3 linked regions of the Drosophila melanogaster genome follow. The protein of the gene in region 1 interacts with the protein of each later gene in a biochemical or structural test. Each region holds a gene or a part of one and is shown in the gene's direction. Other genes may lie near its edges.

The links.
Region 2: of the proteins of Rac1 (region 1) and RhoGAP100F, one has a biochemical effect on the other in vitro, tested with the Drosophila melanogaster proteins (one study listed by BioGRID).
Region 3: of the proteins of Rac1 (region 1) and pbl, one has a biochemical effect on the other in vitro, tested with the Drosophila melanogaster proteins (one study listed by BioGRID).

What each region holds. Positions count from the first base shown.
Region 1 is NT_037436.4:1,300,357-1,304,678, reverse strand, and holds Rac1 (Rac1), read left to right. Parts: upstream 1-1,995; 5' UTR 1,996-2,332; coding exon 2,333-2,911; 3' UTR 2,912-3,800; downstream 3,801-4,322. Other genes in the region: Acat2 (Acetyl-CoA acetyltransferase 2), read right to left, coding at 115-399, 456-641, 702-1,131, 1,186-1,298, 1,370-1,491, 1,586-1,628. UniProt on the Drosophila melanogaster protein: During various developmental processes, regulates changes in cell morphology in response to extracellular signals.
Region 2 is NT_033777.3:31,811,036-31,815,665, forward strand, and holds the start of RhoGAP100F (Rho GTPase activating protein at 100F), read left to right. Parts: upstream 1-1,573; 5' UTR 1,574-2,791; intron 2,792-4,630. Other genes in the region: FeCH (ferrochelatase), read right to left, coding at 1-286, 342-443, 706-1,084, 1,139-1,175. UniProt on the Drosophila melanogaster protein: GTPase activator for the Rho-type GTPases by converting them to an inactive GDP-bound state. Promotes the anchoring of Liprin-alpha clusters at synapses. Recruits and keeps Nrx-1 levels high in active zones in the presynapse opposite the postsynaptic region.
Region 3 is NT_037436.4:7,908,898-7,913,542, reverse strand, and holds the start of pbl (pebble), read left to right. Parts: upstream 1-1,588; 5' UTR 1,589-2,084; coding exon 2,085-2,121; intron 2,122-4,204; coding exon of another isoform or gene 4,205-4,382; intron 4,383-4,645. Other genes in the region: CG8281 (uncharacterized protein), read right to left, coding at 1-936.

The sequences.
Region 1 (4,322 bases):
GGGAGGTTGTGCCTTTAAGTACGTGCGAATACTACGCGAATAGAGAAATAAACTTTACACTTAAGTGGGAAACAGGAAAAGGCAATAAATAGCTTGAATGACAATGAATTAAGACTAGCTGAGGCGCTCCACGGCCAGGGCGATTCCCATGCCGCCACCGATGCAGAGCGATGCGATTCCCTTTCTTCCACCGGTGCGCTCCAGCGCATAGAGCAAAGTGACCAAGACACGGGCACCTGAAGCTCCAATCGGGTGGCCCAGGGCAATGGCACCGCCATTGACATTTACTTTCTGAGCATCCAGCTGCAGGTCCTGCAGGACAGCCAGTGATTGGGCGGCGAATGCTTCGTTCAGCTCGTAAAGATCCACTTCCTCACGCTTCCAGTTAATCTTTTGAAGCTGAAAAATGTGAAAACTTAGGAGCATGTATAGAAGTGGAATTTCCGTGTAACTACCAATGCTTCCACAGCTGTGACTGGTCCCAGTCCCATCACCTTTGGCTCAATGCCACTCTGAGTCCAGCCCACAATCCTAGCCAGCGGCTTAAGACCCTTCCTGGCCACCTCCTCGCCGGACATCAGTAGTACGGCAGCAGCGGAGTCGTTGACGCCTGAGGCATTGCCAGCGGTTATAGAGCCGCCCTACATAAGCAAGAGAAAGTGGGTTAACTCTCGCTCTTCTTGTATTTATCTTAGACCCACCTCTTTGAAGGCTGCCCTGAGCTTCTGTATACCCTCGACGGTGCTGCCCGCCTTGATGTACTCATCCTTGCTGAATGTGGTCGTACCCTTGCGATCCTTGATCTCCACGGGCACAATCTCCTTGTCGAAGTAACCCTTTTTTTGGGCCTCCTCGGCTCGATTTTGCGACAGCACGGCATAGGCATCCTGGGCCTCACGACTGATGTTATACTTATCGGCCAGATTCTCGGCAGTGATGCCCATGTGTATGTTCTCCATGGCATCGGTTAGGCCGTCGTGGATCATCGAGTCCACCATAGTGCCCGGACCCATTTTGACGCCCTGCCGCAGATGCATGACGTGTGGAGCCAGGGACATGCTCTCCTGACCTCCTGCCACAACAATCTGTGCGTCTCCCGAGCGGATGGCCTGGTAACCCAGCGCTACAGTTCTGGAAATGGTAAAAACCATTGTAAATGTACGGAATTGTACGGGACAAACTCACTTTAAGCCGGAACCACATAGCATGTTTATGCCGTAGGCTGGCACCTGAATGGGCAGACCCGCCTTGAGTGAAGCCTGACGTGCTGGATTCTGACCCTGACCGGCGCTTAGAGCCTAACAAAGATATTTACATAACAAATAGATCGGTAAGATAGGAGGAGAAACAGTTATGATATGGGTCCCACCTGGCCCAAGATGACTTCGTTGACCTCCTGGCCCTCCACATTCGCCCGCCGGAGTACCTCCTGGATGACCACGCTGCCCAGGTCGGAGGCCTTCAGTTTAGAAAGCGTTCCATTGAAGCTACCTGTTGATTTTTCAGATTGGACAAACACGAAGAGAAAGTTTCCAATTAGAATGTGGTTATCGTGTATGGTGCAGCCGATTTATCTTGGTTTTACCAATGGGCGTGCGGGCGGCGGACACGATGAACACGTCAGACATTCTGGATGGGCAAGGAACAGGTGTTATTGACTTGGCTATTGAGCAGCAAATAAATTCTAATTTTCGAAATTGTATTATTTGCTGCCAGAAGTGTGACCAGGTGCAGCCAAAGCCCAGAAGCTGCACTTCTGGGGCCCAGCCCTACTAAAAACAGCTTGTTCTCACTTCAAATCACTGACATAAACAGGAAGACAATGAAATTATATATTTTGTAATTCGGATTTAATTATAAGTAAATGCGAAACTTAAGGGTTTTATGTTTGCTTTAAGGACGAAGCCTTGAAATAATTTACAAATCTTAGGGTGACCATTTCAATGCAGTTTTAATTTGTTTTAGTATTTTACAGCTTTCCCATGGTAAATTTGAACAGTCCAGCCGCGGTCACACTGCAGTACACAGAAAATTTACTTTTTTTGTTGAGAAAATTAGGGAAATTAACGCACAAAACGCGAGTTAAAGAGGCCCAGAACGTAAGGCGCGATCATCAGTCGCCCCGAGGACCACAAGGCACTGGAAAAGGAGTCGCGCTTCCAGAGATAACCCCGCAAAAGGACCCACGCAAGCAACAGTCCTCCGCCGCCGCCCCAAAAAGAACCAAAAACGCCTGAAGAAGAAGCACCCCCGCAATCAGAAATCTGCAATCTTCAATCTCCAATCTCTAGGCACATAGCACTCCAGTCCAGAAAGTCGAGGAAATCGAACCATGCAGGCGATCAAGTGCGTCGTCGTGGGCGACGGAGCCGTGGGAAAGACCTGCCTGCTGATCAGCTACACGACCAATGCCTTTCCCGGCGAGTACATACCCACCGTGTTCGACAACTACTCGGCCAACGTGATGGTGGACGCCAAGCCCATCAACCTGGGCCTGTGGGATACGGCCGGGCAGGAGGACTACGACCGACTGAGGCCACTGTCTTATCCCCAGACCGATGTCTTCCTCATCTGCTTCTCGCTGGTGAATCCGGCATCGTTCGAGAACGTGCGGGCCAAGTGGTATCCGGAGGTGCGCCACCACTGCCCCAGCACGCCCATCATCCTGGTGGGCACCAAGCTGGATTTGCGCGACGACAAGAACACAATCGAAAAGCTGAGGGACAAGAAACTGGCGCCCATCACCTATCCGCAGGGCCTGGCCATGGCCAAGGAAATCGGAGCGGTCAAGTATCTGGAGTGCTCGGCCCTGACGCAGAAGGGTCTGAAAACCGTTTTCGACGAGGCCATCCGGTCGGTTTTGTGCCCCGTGCTGCAGCCCAAGTCCAAGCGCAAGTGCGCCCTGCTCTAAAAGAGTTAGACAGTTGGTCGGTGGTGTTCCACCGACGGACTCTGCTTAAACGTAATATTATTAACTATAAAACCATTATGTAACCTAAGCGTGGCCAGGCTAAATGGCTCATCCGTAGTTTCTTTGTTACAATTTTGCCACTAATTTCCGCTGCTAGGGGGGGATTCCCCCAACCCAACCCAACCCAACTCTTGCTTTTGTTTCGTTTCCGAGTTCTGAGTTTGTTTCGAGTGTTCTGTAATTCATAATCCAATTATTCTGTTTATTCGTGCATTAATTTCAACTAAAAGTTAAAAGCGAGATGTTTCTAGACGAAATGGAGAACTGTAAACTCTAACTGTATTTTGTATTATTTAATAACTTTTGTAATTAAAATTAATGTTGTAAAACTGAGGTAAAACCAAAAACAAAACAAAACAAAAAAAAAAAAACAAACGAAAAACCTAAAAAAAATGTGAGACAAGTACGAGAATAGCCGCATAATGAGCATAAAGCATAGATGTCGCATAGATGTTGATCGAAGGTCCTGCGGAAGGGATCAGGATATTGAGTCAGTAAAGTAAACGTTCCATTGCAATTACACTTACATTATTACATACTTGTATTTAGATGTTGTTGGATATCGAAGCGACGGCGCGGGCGAGTAACAACTTTTTAAACTTTTGCTAGATCCAGGAACTATCAATATATATACATGTATGTATAAGATGAAAAGTCCTTCGTATACTATGTACTGAATTAAAGGCATCAAACTGAGCAACTTTGAATACTTTGTATTTTAAACGACAGATATTCAAGAAACAAAAGAAAAACAAAAAACATGAACGAAGCCAAGATAATTATATAAATGTGTCTATTTCAATGGAAATCAATAAAGCATAATAAAAGGAGTTTTGGTTTATTTATTGTGATATGTTTCTTATATTCTTCTGACATATCATATGTAGTGAATACTAGAAAACGATCTGCGCATATTAGGGAACTATGAGTGGGAAAGAGCGTAAAACTAGTTTTAGCTAAGTCGAATCACTCATCGAAAAGATATCTGAGTGCTCTTTTCTTCTCCAAGATCTTCGCAGCACCAGCACATATACTTACTTACATAGCTCACGCATTCAAATATTCTTGATTGTTTATCAAACTCCATTCGTCAATGGCCGACATTGGCCCTCGCTCGAGTGCTCACTGTACCCACAACGGAGACAGACTTATCAACGCCGAAGAACGAATTATTTTGCTTATCTCGGCGAAAGTCGAGAACCGAAAATAATCTAAATCAGCTTGAAACAAAATAACCGATTCCCGGAGCTCCTCACTTCTGGTTCTACACCGAGAAAGAAGTATTTATGGTTAGCATGAAAATAAAATATAAATATATAGAAGTAAATAGAATAAAAGCATTTTATTGAAC
Region 2 (4,630 bases), on another chromosome or scaffold:
TAGCGGGCCCACCTTGGATTGCCATGCCAGGCTGTAGGGATTCGTCTGACCAAGTTCCTGCATCACCATGTGTACGCTAGCACCAATCTCCGAGGGATACGCGTCACCCCGGTTCACAGCCTTAAGGGGAAGGGAGTGGGCAGTGAAGAGGATGACCACATCATTTCGTTTCGTTTCCACAAATTTGGCCAGCTCGTCGCGAATTCGCTGGGCAAACGTTTTGATTAGAAGTGGATGAGTGCCCCACCTGTCGATAATGCTCCATTTGATATCCGAGGGCAGATTACTAAAGAGGTAGAGGGGATCAAATAAATAGCTGCAATTGTGCATTTCTAACTCACTTGCTCCGATAATGAGTAAATATGGAGTTAAAGCTGGATCCGGAGGTGGCGCAGCTGTACTGTGGATATTGTGAAAAGAGTACAACGCGCTCTGGTTTGTCCCTGTAAATATGTTAAAATATTAACATGTATTCTTTAAGTAGCGCAAATGACCATAATTTCCAGGTTTAGGTTTCAGTAATTTGTCCAAGAAGTCAACTGATAATAGCAGGACATTGAAACATGCATAAGAAGTCAGAAGTCTATACAAACTTATTTACTAGAACATATCTTATTGTGAGAGTCCGTAGCAATATATATAGGTCAATTTCACGACCTTCGGATTATTTACATCACTCTTGTTCTACTTCTCGACTACACTCACTTTTCGATCTCGGCCAGCGTGTTCTCAGTGAGGGGATTCACGTAGCGGAAACCGACGTAGTGCTTGTGAGGTGCTGTCTCCGGGGAGATTCTGTCCAACTGCTCGCACATGAGCTGGCCCTGCAGCTCGGTCCACTTAAGAATCGGTGAACCACCGCCGATCTCCTTGTACTTCTTCTGTACCTCGGGCGTCCTGCGCTGGGCGATCCACGGACCAAGACGGCTCTGCACCGGCAGCTGGATCATGTCCCGGTCGGTCATAATACGCAGGAGGTAGTCATGCACCTGGTCCGTGTGGGTCGGACCGCCCATGTTCAGCATTAGGATCGCGGTCTTCGGTTTTTGGCCGCTCAGGTTGCGCACTCCTCCTGCCAGACCACCTGTTGGGGAATATGTAGGAATGTCGTGGGAACTGTATCCACTCGTATACTCACTTGCCAGTCTGCAAAACTTTGTGTTATGCAAAAACATAGTTCCTTTTAAATTGACCCAAATTGATGGCACCGGTGTCGAATAGTGTTACCAGTTGCTAAAATAGTTTAAATACCAAAATGTATGATCTCACAGATTCTAGAGTTTTTCCAAACGTAACAGAGTTCTGTAAAAAGTAACCGTCACGCCATCTATGTGTGTAAAATAGCTGCCAACTATTACTCAACAGTAATCTAAATATTTAAAAATTTTTCCTTTTGTTACACATTTACCATTTAATTTCTCTTTATTGAAACCGAAACCAATATTTGGTATATACTGTTCTTCAAGCGACCAACAGAAATTTTTCGCGCATGCGTCCTTATTTCTTTCCCTTGTCATCAACGCTGCGTGCAACGGTAAAAGCTGACTGTGGTGCAGTCTCGCTCTTGCACGCTGCATTTCGCTCTCGTCGCTTGCTGCGAGTGTTTCGTTTCCTCCGATCAAATAATATTTTGTAGTTTTTCCACCGAATGCAGGCACAATTGCTTCGTAAAAACGCAATAAAAGGCGCGGCCCATGGTCCGAAAAGATAAGAAAGCTTGAAAAACAACCGAAAGTGTCGTTTAACATCGGAGAAAAGCAAAAGGACAAGCGGCGCAGCACAGTGAAAAAAACGTAGGAAGTTTTGGAGTGAGTGAGAGGGAAGGAGTTCCACCGCGGTGGTGGGTGTACGTGCGCGAGTATTGGTGATGTGTCCATGTCCGTGTTATCGCCACCAGCATTAAAGTGCTCCAATTCGTGGCGCACGCGCAGAATAACTAGCGCTCTCTTGCTCTCTTTCTCGACTTAGAAGAGGAACAGGATATTTTATTATACTGAAATTCCTACTCAGGAAATTCGCATAGTTGCGAAAGCTTCGCGCTGCCACACGGACGCATTCCGCTACGGGTTCCCCGCACCACCCACACACTCTCACACCCGCCTGCCGCGAGCCCACACACCGCGCCCGCAAGCACTCTCGCGCACAGATCAATGAAAAGGCCAAAAAATAAATTGCACCTTTTCCGGGAACCAAAAACATGTTGAAATTATCTCACAAGTTACGCAAAAAATGCCGCAGCAAAAAAGTTGCATGGGATGCCGTGAATGCGACGAAAGTGTGAAACGAAACGAAAGGCAACGAAAGACGGTGCAGAAAGGAGCAAAGAGAGGCTGCAAGGATGTACTGCTTCTCAAAATCCCAAGCCATTGACCACCGAATCAGCGATAAGTCTCTAACAACAAAAACCTGCACCTAGCCAATTGCATTTTGCATTCGCATTCTTACTGCCCCGGAAGTAAAAGCAGCTTCAGCGGAAATTAAAACCAATCAAAGCCGAAATAAAAGGTAACGCTAGCGAGCGAAAGAGATAGACATTTTTAGAGAAAAAGAGAGAGCAAGAGAGAGCTACCATAGAGAGCAAGTGCATCCTTTTCACAACGCGGCACACATTTACGACCGGTGACTGCAACTAGCCCACTCCCATACCTCCGCCCCTCTTCAACCCGACCCCAGTTGTCCCTTGCAATTTGTGATCTCACGTTTTCATAACTTGGGCAGTAGCCGTTGGCACGGATTAGACGCAAAACGTCAAGCATTAGGACGTCAGGAGAAACGCAGTTCCACAGTGCAGGTGAGTTTTCAACAAAGGGACCTATCCAGGAAACTCACTGGCGGCTATGCATTTAGTTAATTAAAAAACTATTTGAAGGGTGAAAAGTCCATCATAGGAAATGACCTTGTCGCTATCAAATTCGGCTGTGCTTGATAAGGCTCCCACAACTCGAATAAGCGATCATTTGTGGCAAGTGTGATTATGCGCAATTTTCTGTTAAAACAAATCCTGTTTCCAGAACTTCTAATGCTTTGTTGGTTAGCGTTATTTTGCCTTTTACTAAAAACCTTTTGAAAGAAAAGGAAACGTCTTCTGATAGGCTATCATCATTCATTGTAGTCATTGGAGGTGGAGGTTCCAATTTAATCGTAAGAAAACATGGCATATCGTCAAATCAATTCGAGCAAATGTAATATAAGCGGTGTCTATTCCAGCAGCAAATTATTTCAAGATCTCCTCTATTACACACAAGAGATGAAGATCTAGGATATATACGACTAGGTGAGAGGAACAGAAAGCAAAACATTTACCGCGACATTAACAATCAAAAATCTTGTTTGGACGCTTTTTATGCTCAAAGCCCCCATAACTTTTTACACCCCGAATCGCCCCTTCAGTCCGCCAAACTACCCCCAAGCTAAAAGCTTTGCTCCAATTTACCAGCAAACAGAGAACTTTGTGTGGAGCCCCATACCATACAAATAATTTAAAAAAGCTGAGCCGCACAACTATCTTAATTTTATGTTAGAACTAAAGCCCCTTGTATAAAAAAAATGATAGCAAGCCTCTTACGGTAGCCAAAAATGGATTTCCATAGAGACCATTAAAATCGCTTGGTACTTTTTGTTGTATTAATTTACGTTGTTATTTATTAACTTATTTTAAGGCAGTATTGTTCACATATAGAAAATCTTTAAACAGAAAGTTATTTTTAAAATTGCATATTATTTTGTTTGGTCCTTATGTGTGTGGTATAAGCCGAGCTGTAATACAACATGTGGATGGCGACTTCCATTCTGTGCAGCCATAATTCCATCTTTTTGATTCTGCCCTCACTAATTAGATAAATTCACAGTTTCCCCGCAACTTTGCTAGTTTTTATGGTTTCGAGCATATTTTTGGCATTTTAATGCGACTTCTATCCGTCGTCCAAATGGCGAGTTGGGAGCTCCAAATTCGGAGTTGCGAGTTTCTAGTTGCGGGTTGCTGGTGGCATGTTGCACAGTCGTCAGGTGAGTCAGCTGAGCACCGGCAGAAAGGACCACATGGCGCGAAGCGACTGCACTGAAAATTGGGGTTTTACCATGCAGATAATGGGATCCGATCTGAAAAGTAAATGATCGTAATATCGGTTGTCAAGAGCTGCGAGTCAGTTGTGGGGCCTTTTCGCGTTACAATTATAAGCTGAGCCGATAAATATAACTTCTAAAAGAAAGAGTATCCTTTTTTTGCCTCAGTGGGTGTGCAGTCGCATGAGCGTGCGGCAAAGCCCAGTGGGTGTGGGTGGGATGGTGGGTTTGCGGGTTAGGGTCCGACGGTCCCCAGTGGTGGGTCTGTGTTTCTTCTTTCGATGTATATTCCTTTGTCGGGTGCTACTAACCAGTCAAAGTGTGGAAAAGGGACTCATGGGGATGTGGCGTTGTGGATAAACTTCAACGCAGCAATAACCATACCAAACCAAATAATGCCATGATGGGGTTACAACTGAGCCCAAAGAGGGAAATCGATAAATCTGCCTGTCGTCATTGTAGCACTGCCTCAAGTAAAAATAATTTTAAAGTTTAAAATTCATATCGATATCTTATTAAATTCGGTTTTCACTATTTATGACAATTTCGTAATATTTGGATTCTGATG
Region 3 (4,645 bases), 6.6 Mb from region 1:
ACTGGGGCTCTGTGATTTGTCCTGCTCCTCGTGACCATTTGGCGTTTCTTCGTAGCGAACGTAGGGTTCGAAGCTGTTGTTGATTTGCACAGATCCGCGATGCAGATTGTTGGACTCGGCCTCGAAGAGAATCTCGTTGATGAAACGTTCGGCCAGAAGACGCTGCTCGCGCGGCAGTCGCTTCAGTTTGTGCGTCCAGGTGCGGGCGATGGACTCCTCCTCCGGATATGTGCCAGCCAAATACTCGCAGGCTATGTTGAGTAGTTCGTCGGTGTTGTGGGCGGTGCCTGTTGCCCCAGGACCGCCAGTAGATCCGGCTCCTGCTCCCGTACATGGCGGCGTTTGCCTGGCTCGCTTGCTGCTCCCATAATCCACATGGTTGGTTGCTGGCGGTGGCGGTGGCGGAGCTCCAAATGATTTGTGAAACATCTCGGAAATGTTGGGCGTCTGACCACCAGCGCGTGGTGCTGGATAATGGAGGGCTGCTCCCTGGCTCTCCAGAAACGCACTCGGGCAATTGCTGCTCTCACCGAAGGCGAAGTTGGGCTCGTTCTTAAAGGCGGGATTGACGGCTAGAAACTTCTCCGAGTTGCGCAGAAAGTCCAGCTCCTGAAAGGTCCAGCAGCGTGGACTGTGGAGGCTGCCCGATCGCAGGGCACTCTCCACCACCTTCAGCTCCTTGCGGTAGTTCGTGCGCAGTGTGTTGATCTTCTTTTTCACATCCTCCACGGTGGCGTCCCGCTTGAGATAATGGTATATGGGCACCAGGCGCAAATAGGCCTCCGCCCGCTTCTCCCGATTGGTGTAGTCCCGCAGCGATGTGTCCCACAGCACGGGCAGATCCCTGTATGTCTGGATGAAGGCGCGCAGATAGTGTCGGTTCTCCTCCGCTCCCGACATCACCTTCAATCCGTGCGGCGGCGTTTGTGGCAGCATTTTGCGCGGATCTCTGGATTACCCTCTGCCAATCCACGCCAGCTGCAGTCCTTGGCTATCTTCACCACTTCAGCGAATCCTGGATGGACCTATTGACCAACTGTCAATGCGAACGAACTGTGTTTGTTGTAATTGCGCGTTTGACAGATTGTTTGCCATATTGACGTAATGGTTGTGTGCGAGTGTGCGTGAGCGTGAAGATACAGCAACAAGTGCGGACGTAGTGGCAATGCTTGTCACTGGTATCGATACTTCGCCAGCAGTATTTATCGGTCAACTCGTTGTTATCAAGCGCGTATATTTAAACAAAGTAGCACAAAAGCAAGTAGTTTTAGGCATTCATTTATTAAATATATGAGCAAGCATACATAAAATTAACTGTAGCTTATATAGCTTGCATGAAAAATATGATTGGAGGCTACAACTGCAACAATAGTAGGATATTACCAAATTTAATTTATCGACAGGCCAAAAACAACTTAAACGAAGAAAACAGTTCTAATTGATTGTTAATATAGTGCAGCTTACAACTATTTTATAGCCATAGTCGTTTAATTTAGTTATATAGCATTACAGGGAATACCTTCAACCCCTTGCAAGTGTGACCATTATTTAGCGCCGATTGATTCTGGTATTTCGTTCATCACATTTGCGCGTATTTCTTGGCGCCCCCGCGACGGTTACACTGCGCGGCACACTACAGCGAAAAAAATTCGAAACAGACGCGTTTGTCCGTTGAGTTTTGATTTGTGATTCCGACGCGCAGCCGTTGAGCGCAATTCGCTTACATTGTTGATCATTTTGTTGGTTAAATTGCTAAAGCAGGTACGCGGTATCGCTAACAAGAGGACGAAGAACCGGGCGACGCTGCCTATGCGCGTCTGTGTGTGTGTGTTTTCGTGAGCCGCCGCTTTTTAATTAAATAATAAATAAATTGTAACAAAAAGTAGAAAAACAAACAAACATGGAAATGATGCGCGCTAAATGCATGAAAACAGCGTCCAGTTAATGAAAGTAAACGAATCGAGTACAAACGAATTATTTGTCTCCTTGTGCGTTCGTTCTATTGTGTTTCGAGTTCTGTTGGTGTGTGTTTTTGTGTATGTTCCACGAGTTGTTCGCCTTAAAAAAGTAACTGCAGAAGATCCATGGAAATGGAGACCATTGAAGAGCAATCGAAGTGCGGTGAGTACTGAAAGAGGGCGCGGGGCGTGGCAGCTCCAAATGGCCGGCGAATTTATCATTTTTCAATGTCGCCCAAAGGGGTTGGGTACGGGGTAAAACCACATTCGGGGCCAAAAGATCCTCATAAAAAATGTCGCTGCCAGCAAATGCAAAAAAATAAAATGAAATAACAACGACTATAAGTACATCTTTGTGTGTATTTGTGTGACTAAAAAAGCAACGGCATCGTGTCGCAGATATTTTAATCTTTTTTTCTGAATTTATTTCGGTGTAGAAAATATTTATCGCATAAATGCGAAATGCCTCCCTCTCTTCATCATCGTTTCCCCTCACTCTCCCTCTCTTCGGCGACACTGTACCGACAGCAAGAACAACAACAACAACTGAGGCGCCCTAACTGTTGTGAGAGTAAAAAGAAAGGACAAGCAACAACAATTTAAGCGATCAGTTCCTGTTATCATTGATGCGAATTCAGCCGTTTTTAGCCATGGAGTTGTAGCTATAAAAGAAAGTAAACAAGAAACTATCGAATCTTAAAAAAGTAAACAATTAACAAAAGATAGATTTAGGTATTGATGGGAAAGAGAAATCTCTGCTATAAAGTTTTTATTATATTTTTAACATTTTTATTTAACTAAAAACAAAATTGTTTCTAGGCAATTAAAATTGTTATACTTTCCATAAGCCTACGATTTCCGCAACGAGAACGTGTAACTGCAAATACCACACAATTTCAAAGGTTATTGCCTTAAAAAATACGTGTAAATATGTTGTACGGCAGGAATTTTTCCAGCGCGCGGCATAAACAAATAAAATTATCATTTAATGTATTTTGTGTCCGAATTTGAGGCGCAAATAAAGCATATATCAATTAAAAGTTTATAATTTGGTTAGGTTATAAAATCAATTCTCCTTTGATGTTATTTAGCCTTTAAATGTGCATATGTATGTAGATACTTTTGAAATCAACTCTACATGATATCTTTGTGTACTTATTCTGTCTGCTCCGCTCTAATACTTGCCGCCAGGTAAGAAGAAGAATTTATCCTGCTCGACAGGCTCTTCGCTCCTTCTACTTCCTCCTCTTGTTGCACAGAATCCTTGATCCTTGCTTTCCGGGTGGTTTACCTACCCCGCTGGCCGATTACCTCGTATTCCATTTACACATGTTGACAGGGCGCACATGCCCATACAACTATGACTATATAGCCTGTAGTCCGTGTTTTCCGTCCCTCAATGCTAATGGCATTTTACATGGCCCGCAGACCTTCGGAATCTGCTCTTCGCCTACGTCAAGGCTTCCGCGGGATACGTACGTAATTTTATTACAAGATTTTTCTTTGATGACTCTGCTCTGCTATTTGACAAAATCCGCTACACAGCGAGAAATTGGTTGATTTTATGTATAATTTAAACTTGCAGGTAAACTGAGGTTTTTTTTTCTAGAGATTTAAAGTAATTTTCTAAATATTATTCCAAAATTACAAAACGTCTTTCGTTTAAAACACAATTTTTTTACATAAAATATTTTATTTTTGGATTTCATTGTCACTTAAAAATGCTTTTAGGTCTAGGTCAAAAGCAATAGACACGAGAATTTAAGTAAAAATCAAAAATTGTCATTTTGGGTTAACTATGATTTCGCATAGGACATTTTTCGCTGCGTGGCTGAATGCCCAGAAACCCACACACACAGCCCTCTTCTTCCGATGGCTTTTCATTTCTCAGATGCCACTCAATTAGTTTTTCATCGTTTCCCTGGCAGGCAGCCAGCGAGGAAAAGTAGAAAATAAATAACAACAGCGGATTTTGTTCGGGCAAAAAGGAAGGAAATTCCCGAATGGCGAAAAATGGTGGCCGCCACCTGTGAGTCTCGGCACTTTCTCACACTCGGAAATTTTGCTTACCATTTTGCGTTTACCTTTTCTCCTGACCTCACTTACATACCTTCTTCTTCTTGTTTGAACCGAAGAAGCTACCACCTGTGGCCATGCAAAATGCGATTTCAGGTGTTCCCTCAGCCTGAGCTCGTCTTGCATTTAGTTATGTTTTAGAGCCCGATCCTTGAGGATCTGCGAACAAAATGTTACACTTACCGCTGGTGCAGTTCAACTTTGGCAACCATTTGGGCAAAAAGAGCAACAAAGTGGTCACGGTTCAGCGACAATCCGCCTCCTATTTCACATATGCCGCCGACGAGGAGGTCAAACAGGCGAAGCTTCGACAGGCCGCCTTGTGTCAGGTGTACGAGGATTTTACAGGTATTTCAAGATTCCCAGATAAACCCCTTCAGGTACTCGTTTCCAAGGGTTGAATATGCGCAAAAGCAAGAGCAACATATTCGCCAGAGGGAAACTTAAGTAGGGTAAAGTCTTTCGTGAATCATCCATCCATTCAGCCAGACCATCGACAAACACCTGGGAAAGGTGCAGGAACAGTAAAAATAACTATGTATTTCATAAATAAATATATTACTTTCCGAGGAAAGCATTCGATGTCATGTTAAGGTGATATTGATTTAAAT